Macaca fascicularis: one gene and its partners. The protein of the gene in region 3 interacts with the protein of the main gene of each other region in a biochemical or structural test. Links are inferred from orthologs where the notes say so. Each region holds a gene or a part of one and is shown on either strand. Other genes may lie near its edges.

The links.
Region 1: the proteins of NXF1 (region 3) and ALYREF form a complex in vitro, tested with the Homo sapiens proteins (2 studies listed by BioGRID and IntAct). The link is inferred for Macaca fascicularis from reciprocal best matches to the Homo sapiens genes NXF1 and ALYREF.
Region 2: the proteins of NXF1 (region 3) and RBM15 form a complex in vitro, tested with the Homo sapiens proteins (2 studies listed by BioGRID). The link is inferred for Macaca fascicularis from reciprocal best matches to the Homo sapiens genes NXF1 and RBM15.

The regions. Positions count from the first base shown.
Region 1 is NC_088390.1:88,268,694-88,272,408, forward strand, and holds the start of ALYREF (THO complex subunit 4), read right to left. Parts: upstream 2,930-3,715; 5' UTR 2,924-2,929; coding exon 2,666-2,923; intron 2,165-2,665; coding exon 2,033-2,164; intron 665-2,032; coding exon 517-664; intron 325-516; exon of another isoform or gene 211-324; intron 1-210. UniProt on the Homo sapiens protein: Functions as an mRNA export adapter; component of the transcription/export (TREX) complex which is thought to couple mRNA transcription, processing and nuclear export, and specifically associates with spliced mRNA and not with unspliced pre-mRNA.
Region 2 is NC_088375.1:123,967,162-123,969,661, reverse strand, and holds part of RBM15 (RNA-binding protein 15), read left to right. Parts: coding exon 1-815; intron 816-2,500. UniProt on the Homo sapiens protein: RNA-binding protein that acts as a key regulator of N6-methyladenosine (m6A) methylation of RNAs, thereby regulating different processes, such as hematopoietic cell homeostasis, alternative splicing of mRNAs and X chromosome inactivation mediated by Xist RNA.
Region 3 is NC_088388.1:11,252,197-11,255,846, reverse strand, and holds part of NXF1 (nuclear RNA export factor 1), read right to left. Parts: intron 3,521-3,650; coding exon 3,411-3,520; intron 1,625-3,410; coding exon 1,588-1,624; intron 476-1,587; coding exon 407-475; intron 327-406; coding exon 271-326; intron 1-270.

The DNA of each region.
Region 1 (3,715 bases), on a different chromosome or scaffold from region 3:
GCAAACACTGGAAAGGGCCTCTGTGTGTCTCAAATGCCCCCGACAAGGGAAATGGCCTGGAGATACTGGTGGGAGAACAAAATGGCAAGGAAGCAACCCCACCAACACCTCCTCATCCTTCTCAGTCCAGACTGGGTGGGCTGCTTGCTGAGGTGTCAGGGTGCTCGTGGGTGGAGAGGTGTGGGTGACCTGACGAAGAAGAACCGGTACCTTTGTCTTTACGACTACAGCCCCGCACTCAGAGGTGTACTATGGCGGTTCTGAGAAGGCTTCACAGAAGTGAATCTTCCGGAAGGAGCTGAAGGAGGGGAGGGATGTAGCTTGCTGGATGGGGGTTCACAAGAGGTTGGTCCAGATGTGTGGGGCAGCATGAGAGGTGGCAGATGGAAGAGAGAGACAAAGGGGCAAATGCAAAGTGTCCTCAGCCACAGGGGTACCCCATTTTCCTACCTGGACAGGTGCCAGCCCCAAACTCCACAAGCCCCACAGTCAGCGTGGGTCTACCCCCAGACTCACCATCCAGAGGGACGCCGTTGTACTGCTTCATGGCCTTCAGGGCATCTGCCTTCCGCTCAAAGTGCACGTCTGCTGTTCCTAAGCTGCGGCCAGAGCGATCATAGTGCACAGCCGCCTTCTTCAGCGTTCCAAATTCAGCAAAGAGTTCCTGGGAGTTGCAAAGAACAGTTGTCAGAAAAGCAACAAAACTGGGTTCCTTCTGGTGGCCCAGGGACAGGCCCTGGAAGCGTGAGTTGCTTTGGGGGTGGTTCCCTGGGAGGCAGGACAGTGGTAACGGGAAATGAGGGAAGGGTGGGGCAGAAGGGACAGCAACTTCCAAGAGCACCTGGGTCTGAGGGCTCCTGCCATTGTGGGGACCTGACACGTGTACCATGATGCAGATAGAGGAAGTCGCAAAGCCCACTAGCAAAGGGCACAAAATTAAGCCACTATCCTCCTCAACGAAGGAAAATTTACAACACACCCAAGGGCTGTTCCAAGAAACGGTAAAGGCCAAGATCAAGAGCAAGAGCAAGGGAAGCAGTCCGATATCAGACCAGCTTGAAGGGCCTGTAGATTCGGGAGCCCTGACCCCAGCCCCTCCCCCAGAGGCAGATTCTGGCTCACCTTTCCCTCTCCTCCTACTCAAGCCTGCCGCAAAGTCTGAAGTCAAGCGCTGCCATGGAAACTGCCCTGACCTCAGGCAGGCTGGGAGTTGGAGAGGGAACCCAGAGTGTGGGGATACTCCGGCCGCAGGCACACAGCGGGAACTGGAGTTCACCAAAAGCGGTTTCCAGTGGATGCTAGAAACCACCTTAAAAAAAGTGTTGAGACACTGTGAGTGCTCACTGGCCCTACTCTGTCCTCCCAAGGCAAATGGCTGGGCTGTGGGCAACTGAACCCTGCCCAGCCATCTCCAAAACTGACTCCCAAAAAATCATTTCTTAACCAGAAAACAAGTTTAAATGCCATTGGGATTCAATTTTTCTTTTTTAAAAAAAGAAAAGCTTCAACCAAAGATGGGCTTGAGAATCATGTCACTGAAGGGACACGGGGGTGGGGAGTGATAAAACCGCAGCGTACAACGTCTTTATAAGACAATACTCAAGGCAGACAGAGCCAGAAAATCACACAGGCTTCCTGTGCTTCATAAGGTACATAAAAAAGATTATTTTTCTCACATTAACCCACTAAAAGGGGCACAACATTTAAAGAGCAACTGGGCTGGGTTAAACAGCCAACAACCACTCACATTTGATCAGTTTTGGTCCCTGTTAGAAACTGGAAGCCCTGGCTGGGGATGTTCACTCACAGAACCCATCTTCACACTATCAGCAGCAGTTCCTCAGGCTCGGCTAGGCTCGCACCTGCCTGCGGACTGAGCCCGGCTTTACTAGAGCTAGGTCTGTCCTGCAGCCCTTGAGAGCTGGGAGCGCTCCCTTCGCTAAGGCGGGAAGGGGACTCAGGGCCCCCTCCCCCAAATCACGATCGGTCCTGTGCAGGGCGAACGGCTCACCGAGAAGCCCTCGTCTCTTACCTGAATATCGGCGTCTGAAACTCCAAAATCCAGATTGGACACCAGCAGTTTCCCACCCGTCTCCACGCCGGCACCACCCCCGAAGCCACTGTCGAAAAGATCGTGCTGCCACTTGTCGGGAAGTTGTTTTGGCTGAAGAAAAAAAACCGCAACAACAGCAGATCCGTGAGTCTCAGTCCAGGCCTTTCCTGGCCCTCACGGCTACTCCGGACCCTTCCTCTTCCCGGCCTGAGAGGATCCGGCCGAGACGGGGCCGCCGGCGCTCCCTCCGGCGCAGCAGCTGCCCCAGCCCGAGGCGGCACGGTCCCACCGCGGCCGCACAACTTCAGTTCCCTTCGACTAACTTCCCGCCGCCGGTGCCGCGCCCAGCGTCCCCTCCTCTCCTGCCGCCACGAGGCCCCGGCGGCCGGAACAAACAAAGAGCCGGGAAGGGTCTCAGCCTCCGAGACCGGGCCCCGAAAGAACGACCTCGCTCCCGCCCACCACCCCCTCCGCGCCCACACGCACCCTCCGGACCTCCGGGCGGCCGCTCCACCGGCCCTATCTGTCCGCCGGCCCGGGTCTCCACCGCGAGACGCCCCGGCCCCGGCTGGTCCCCTCCCGCTCTCCGGCGCGGCCGGCCTCCGCACTCACCCTGCTGTAGGGCGCCGGTCGGTTCCTGCCGCCTCCGCCGGCCGCGCCGCGGGCGATGGCCGGCCGGTTCCGGATGGGCCCGCCGCCTCGACTCACTCGCGCGGCGGCCTGCGCCCCACCGCCGCGACCGCCCTGGGAGCCGGCCCGGCCGCGGCCCCGGCCCCCGCCGCGGCCGCCTCGTTGGCTCCGGTTCAGTTTAATGATGTCGTCCAGAGACATGTCCATTTTGTCGGCCATGGCGGGCGCGGAATCGGGCATCGGCTCGAGCCCGCGCGTCAGCACGCCGGCGCGTCACTTCCGGCGCCTCGTGAGGCCTTCCGGTGCCACGGCCTCGGAGCGACTGCTGATTGGCCGCCGGCGGACGGCTGCGCGCGCGGGACGGGGTGAGGCGGGAAGGCGCGTGCGCACTGGCTCGCGGGACTCGGCGGGCGCTGCTGAGGGAGCCGGGCCGCGACTGAGGTCGTTTTTATACCTTCCCGCGCGGACGCCGGCGCTGCCAACGGAAGGGCGGGCAGGGCGGCGCGTGATTAGGTTGGCGAAGGTGCGAGGGCGCAGGGGGTGGGGCGGCAGCCGTTGGGGGCGGAGCCTGCGCGCCCCTCCCTCCCCGCACGCCCCACCCGATCGCCCTGGGCTGGGGGCGCTGGGGGCCCTGCGGGCGCGGCGGGTGCCCGGCAGCCGCTGGGAGTCCTTGTTTCCGCTCCCGCCCGGGACTGTGCGCTCGGCTCGCGGCGGGGTCCAGCGGAGGACTCGGCGGGCGACAGCCGCCGCAGAAGAGCTGCGGGTTGGTTGTTTGGTCCCCACCTGCAGACCCCCGAGTCTGCACTCTCACAATTTGCTAGTCATATCCTTTACAAGTTTTCGTGCGCGGTCACGCCTGCAATCCCAGCGCTTTGCGAGGCCGAGGCAAGAGGTTCGCTTCAGCCCAGCAGTTTGAGACCAGCTGGGGCAACACAGTGAGACCCCATCTCTTAAAAAAAAAATTAGTTGAGGCCGAGACGGGCGGATCACGAGGTCAGGAGATCGAGACCATCCTGGCTAACACGGTGAAAC
Region 2 (2,500 bases), on a different chromosome or scaffold from region 3:
TTACAACAGCGACAATGATCGATCTTCCCGTCTTCTCTTGGAAAGGCCCTCTCCAATCAGAGACAGACGAGGTAGTTTGGAGAAGAGCCAGGGTGACAAGCGAGACCGTAAAAACTCTGCATCAGCTGAACGAGATAGGAAGCACCGGACAACTGCTCCCACTGAGGGAAAAAGCCCTCTGAAAAAAGAAGACCGCTCTGATGGGAGTGCACCTAGCACCAGCACTGCTTCCTGCAAGCTGAAGTCCCCGTCCCAGAAACAGGATGGGGGGACAGCCCCTGCGGCAGCAGCCTCTCCCAAACTCTGTTTGGCCTGGCAGGGCATGCTTCTACTGAAGAACAGCAACTTTCCTTCCAACATGCATCTGTTGCAGGGTGACCTCCAAGTGGCTAGTAGTCTTCTTGTGGAGGGTTCAACTGGAGGCAAAGTGGCCCAGCTCAAGATCACTCAGCGTCTCCGTTTGGACCAGCCCAAGTTGGATGAAGTAACTCGACGCATCAAAGTAGCAGGGCCCAATGGTTATGCCATTCTTCTGGCTGTGCCTGGAAGTTCTGACAGCCGGTCCTCCTCTTCCTCAGCTGCATCAGACACTGCCACTTCTACTCAGAGGCCACTTAGGAACCTTGTGTCCTATTTAAAGCAAAAGCAGGCAGCCGGGGTGATCAGCCTCCCTGTGGGGGGCAACAAAGACAAGGAAAACACCGGGGTCCTTCATGCCTTCCCACCTTGTGAGTTCTCCCAGCAGTTCCTGGATTCCCCTGCCAAGGCACTGGCCAAATCTGAAGAAGATTACCTGGTCATGATCATTGTCCGTGGTGCGTCCTAAAGTCCATGTGTAACTTGTATTTACTACTTTGACATGGTTCCTGTTTTGTGATGTGTAATGGGATACAGCATCAGATGCAATTTTCTTTTTAGTTGTTAGTTGTAGCATTTTCTTTTTTATATTTTTATAAACGTCTTTAAAATAGAAATCAGGACAGTTTAGCTATTTTTTTGTTTGTTTAGCTATTATTTTAAGTGAAAGGGATGCCCTAAAGGTAGCAGGCAGACAGATTTGCTTTAATTAGGAGTTCCCACCCTTACGAGTAATTTTTTTCCTCTATTCAGTTTTTTTTTTTTTTTTAATCTTGAGCCTAAAAAATCCTCTGAGTTACAAAACCAAAACTTTGAAAAGTCAGAATTTGGAGAAAGGAGTCCACTGACCATACAAAGAGAGTAATAGCCACCTAAAAAATGACTTGATTGGTGTGTAGGTAGATAATTCTTTTACCAGAAATGTGTGTGACTGAAATTTGATCAGGGATCTCAAAGGTATGCTGGTAAATTGTTTAGCAATGTAATTATTTTAATCAGGTATTTGAATATTTCTTAAGATACAGTTTATTCCCAGAGAGTTTGCTTTAACATGCATTTTTAAAATCATTTGTTCTAGAGTTCTGTATCCCGTGTATGCACTTTTGGTTTGTAGCAGTAACTGTTCAGTAAAAATTAAGGACTGTGTTACAAACCATATATGTCTTATGCTTACACTAGTATGCAAGAAGTGAGTAGGTGCTTTTAAAATCAGAATTCTTTGGTCAGTTATTGGTGTGTGGTGATGTTTTTACTGACTTTTTCAGAGAGGTGTAGCAGGTACAGTTCTAATTGTGCATCTTTCAAAACTGTTCTTCATCAAAGATGAGTTTTTGATTTTGTATCCATTCAAATTTCTGGTTTCAATAATAGAAAGAAGAGTTGTCTGCAGGCTCGTAGTCATCTTTTATTTCAGTGGGCATTTAAAGCAGCCATATTTGGATTGCAGACTTTCTTAAAAAGTCATCATAAAATGCCTTTGACATGCTCTCTTAAAATTTTGCTTGTCTTTTTATTTTCATATTTAAACAGTAGTGACATTACTATTGGAAATGTTTTGAACATTTTGGAAATTTTATGTTTAGTATTCTCACTGCTGTCCAGCTACGGAATTGAAATGTCAGTGTAGGAAAATCTTTTTTTATTGTTTTATTTTCCCAGACACCTGGAATTAATACAGGATCATTTAACTTACCCTCACAGTTTTTTTTTTTCAAAGGTGATAATGACATCAACCTCTGGTTCTCAACAAGGACTTTTGCTGCTTAACAGTAATGGATTTTGTTTTTTTTTTAAATCTATCCCCTCTGTCCCACCCCTAATTTGTCAGGTCATGAGTAAGTATATTTTTCTCCCTTGATTTAAATGCTGAAGACTTCAGCTAAGGCCCTTGATATTTAATTATGATTAGAGACTTTTGGACCTTCTGGATCATGGTCATGTTTCTGTTCTGTGAAAGTGACTTAACTTGAAGCCTGGCAGAACCCAACTGTTTTCTTTCTGTTATCAAAGCTGGAAGTTTTGAAATAGCACCAATAATAACCCAGGGAAATGTCATGTAATTTTTATTTTCCATTATGACAGGTGTCTAATGCATGTCAGCACGAAAGTGTCATCACTGCTGTGTCATCCCTCTTGGTTTTCA
Region 3 (3,650 bases):
ACAAAAATTAGCCAGGTGTGGTGGCACACGCCTGTAGTCCCATCTACTGGGGAGGCTGAGGCAGGAGAATCACTTGAACCCTGGGAGGCAGAGGTTGCAGTGAGCCAAGATCACATCATTGCACTCCAGCCTGGGTGACAGAGTGAGACACTGTCCAAAAAACAAACAAACAAAAAAAAAACCCAAAAGAGTGAGGCTGAGGTGTGCCTGGGTCTGCCCACCTTTCCCTGCCAACCCCGGGGTGGGGAGAGGGGGCCCTGGGATACTTACTGTTGTAGGAAGTGCAGGACCAGACTCTTCAAGTTTTCTGTTCCAAAATAGCTTCCCTGAAATCAAACAAGATATTAGGAACATGGAAGCAGTATTCTCTCCACACATAAGTTCTTACTCAGTCCATGCTTCCTACCTTGCAGGGCGGTAACGTCGTGGGGGCTTCAACATCAAAGGCAATTGGCGGGGGTAGCTCATGGCCATCCTGTGGAAAGGAAATAAAAGTTGACAGTGTAGACTGAGCACAGTGGCTCACACCTGTGATCCCAGAACTTTGGGAGGCCGAGGCAGGCAGATGGCTTGAGCCCAGGAGTTTTAGACCAGCCTGGACAACATGGCAAAACCCATCTCTACCAAAAAAAAATACAAAAATCAGCTGGGCGTGGTGGTGTGTGCCTGTAGTCCCAGCTATTTGGGAGGCTGAAGTGGGAGGATCACTTGAACCTGGCAGGCGAAGGTTGCAGTAAGCTACGATTGTGCCACTGCACTCCAGCCTGGATGACAGAGCGAGACCCTGTCTCAAAAACAAAACAAAAGTTGACAGTTTAAACCAGAGAGAAAAAGGCTGGATGCATAAGTAGACTAAAGAACTAACAGAGAAGGATCAGAAGTCACGTATAAAAGCATCATGAAAAGTATCCAGGAATCCAGGCTGGGCACAGTGGCTCATGCCTGTAATCCCAGCACACTGGGAGGCCAAGGTGGATGGATTAGTTGAGGTCAGGAGTTCAAGACCATCCTGGCCAACATGGTGAAACCCCCGTCTCTACTAAAAATACACAAAGAAATTAGCTGGGCGTTGTGGCACATGCATGTAATCCCAGCTACTTGGGAGGCTGAGGCAGGAAAATCGCTTGAACCCAGGAGGCGGAGGTTGCAGTGAGTCTAGATTGCACCGCACTCTGGATAACAGAGCAAGACTCCATAAACGGCCTGGCAAGGTGGCTCACGCCTATAATCCCAGCACTTTGGGAGGCCAAGGTGGATGGATCACCTGAGGTGAGGAGTTTGAGGCCAGCCTGGCCAACATGGTGAAACCCTGTCTCTACTAAAAATACAAAAATTAGCCAGGCGTGGTAGCACATGCCTGTAATCCCAGCTACTCGGGCTCAGTAAACTGTGGCAGGAGAATCGCTTGAACCTGGGAGGCGGAGGTTGCGGTGAGCTGAGATCACGCCGTTGCACTCCAACCTGGGCGATAAGAGTGAAACTCCGCCTCAAAAAAAAAAAAATAATAAAAAGAAAAAGAAAACTATCCAGGAATCCTTGTGAGTGGGAGACACTGTGCTTGTTAGAATGAAAAAATTATGGACTTACCAGGCGTAATAACTTGGGAAATCGTTCGCGAATGGCGCTGTCAAGAACGGGACAGAAGTAAGTGATGCTTCAGAGCCACCGTGCCTCCTGGGCTGCTCTAGGAGCAAATATACCAAACCCGAGGGACAGCCCATCCCATCCTGCTCATCCCTCCACTCCCTCCCAGCCTGTGCTCAGGGAAAAATGGCCCCACTCCCCACCTGACCCGGGGCACCCAGACATGGACTGCCTTGAAGGCTGTCTCTTTTCTCTCTGCCTGACCCTGAGTGTCAAGGAGCAGTACTCCAAACCTAGGCTTTAAGCCCAGGACCTCTTTCCCCTCCCTGCCCCCCTTACCTTCCACCTACTCACCTGTGCAGCCCCGGGAGGAGGGAATGGGGTGGGAGCCCAGGGGCTCCGCTGCCTCACCAGGTATCCATCAGTTCTGCCAGGTCTGGCCTTGGCCAAGACCCAAACACACCACAGGGATGGCACAGGATGTTGGGGCAGGGAGATGAGCAGGTGGGGCTCAGGAAGAGGAGAAGCCAAGGAGTAAGAAAGGAGAGGAAAAGGAGGAAAAAGAGAAGAAGGCAAGATGGGGCAGGGGCAAGGCAGAGATGGGGAGGTATAGGAAACACAGAAGAAAAAGAAAGAGAAAGCAAAGAAAAAGGGAAAAGAACTACAAGGCAAAAAAGCATCTAGAAAAATGAGGGAGAAAAGGGAGAAACTGACACAGCCCTTTCTTTCAGCTGCCCCATCCCTGTGGTCCAAGGTAGAAATGAGAAACAAATCCTTGCTGTGGTGAGTGGGCACTTGCTGTTGGCCAGGTCTCTGTCTGCTACCTGGGTCCCGATCTGAGCTGGGCGTGGGGAGCAAAGCAGCCATGGGGGCAGGAGACCTCCCTCAGAAGGTGTGAGGGTTCAGGCCCTTGCAGGATTGTGGGGGTGAGGGTCCGTGCCCCACCTCTGTTGCCCCCAAGTTATCTCCTGATGGCCCCTCTGCGACTGTGCCTGTCTTAGGTTGTTCCTTCCCTGAGGAATCTTACCCGTCTCTGGCTAACCAGCCATCCACCGGGGCCAAACAGGGTGACGTGCAGTGTGTGAGTGAGGGAGAGGCAGCGCCCCCGAGGGGCTCAGTTCTCTGTCTCCTTGGTAGCCTATGCCCCCGTGGCCTCCACGCCCAGCACCTGCCTTGGGATTCCCTCGCCTGCTGGCGGGGCCCCAGCTCTGATCACGTCTTGGGGAACCCAGGTTTCTTCTTCAGGGAGATAGACAGATTGCATGCCACCAGCCCCTAGGAGGCCTCAACCTCAGCATGGGCAGGAATGCCCAGGCAACAACCCTGGGCAAGTGGATCCTGAGAAAAGGGTCCCTCTTCGCGCAAGGGCAAGAGGGACCATCACAGTACAAAGGACGGAAGGCCCATCTCAGTAAGGAAGTCCCAGGCAGGGAGGGCTTCCTCCGCCCACGGACATCAGGCTCTTGGTATAAGGCCACTCCATCTATAGGGTATGTACAAATACCCTCTGGTCAGAGTAGAAAGGAGAGATGCCTTTCCTGGAACAACAGGGTAGGGAGATTCTAGAAAAGGTTGTGTTCAGGAAGAAAGAGAAAGGCCACAGACCCAGCAAACAGATAGTCAGGTCAGAAGAGAAGAGAAAGGATCTCAGGACAAAGCTGGAAGACATAGACAGACCAAAGTGGGGAGCACGTGATCCTCCCAAAGGACAGGTGGTTCCAGCTCAGGGCTGCACATCTCCGCAGACGGGCCCTGGTCAGGATGCATTAGCTCAGCCTCCCAGGGGGTGAAGGTCCCCAGGAGGGGAGACACAGGCTACAACTGACCTGATGTAGGTGGACTGGTCTCGGAAGGTGTCACACAAGGAGTTTCCGTCGAGCCAGAGCTCTTCTAGTTTCAGCCCCTTTATCTTGTCCAACTCCCGCTCAGACTTCAACTGCAAAAGGTGGAAGGAAAAAGGGAGGAGACCCTGGTGAAGACAGCCAACTGGATCCCCATACCCCCAGTACCTACGCTTAGCTCTGAAATCTTCTTTTTTAATCTCTTAAAATTTTATTTTTTTGGGG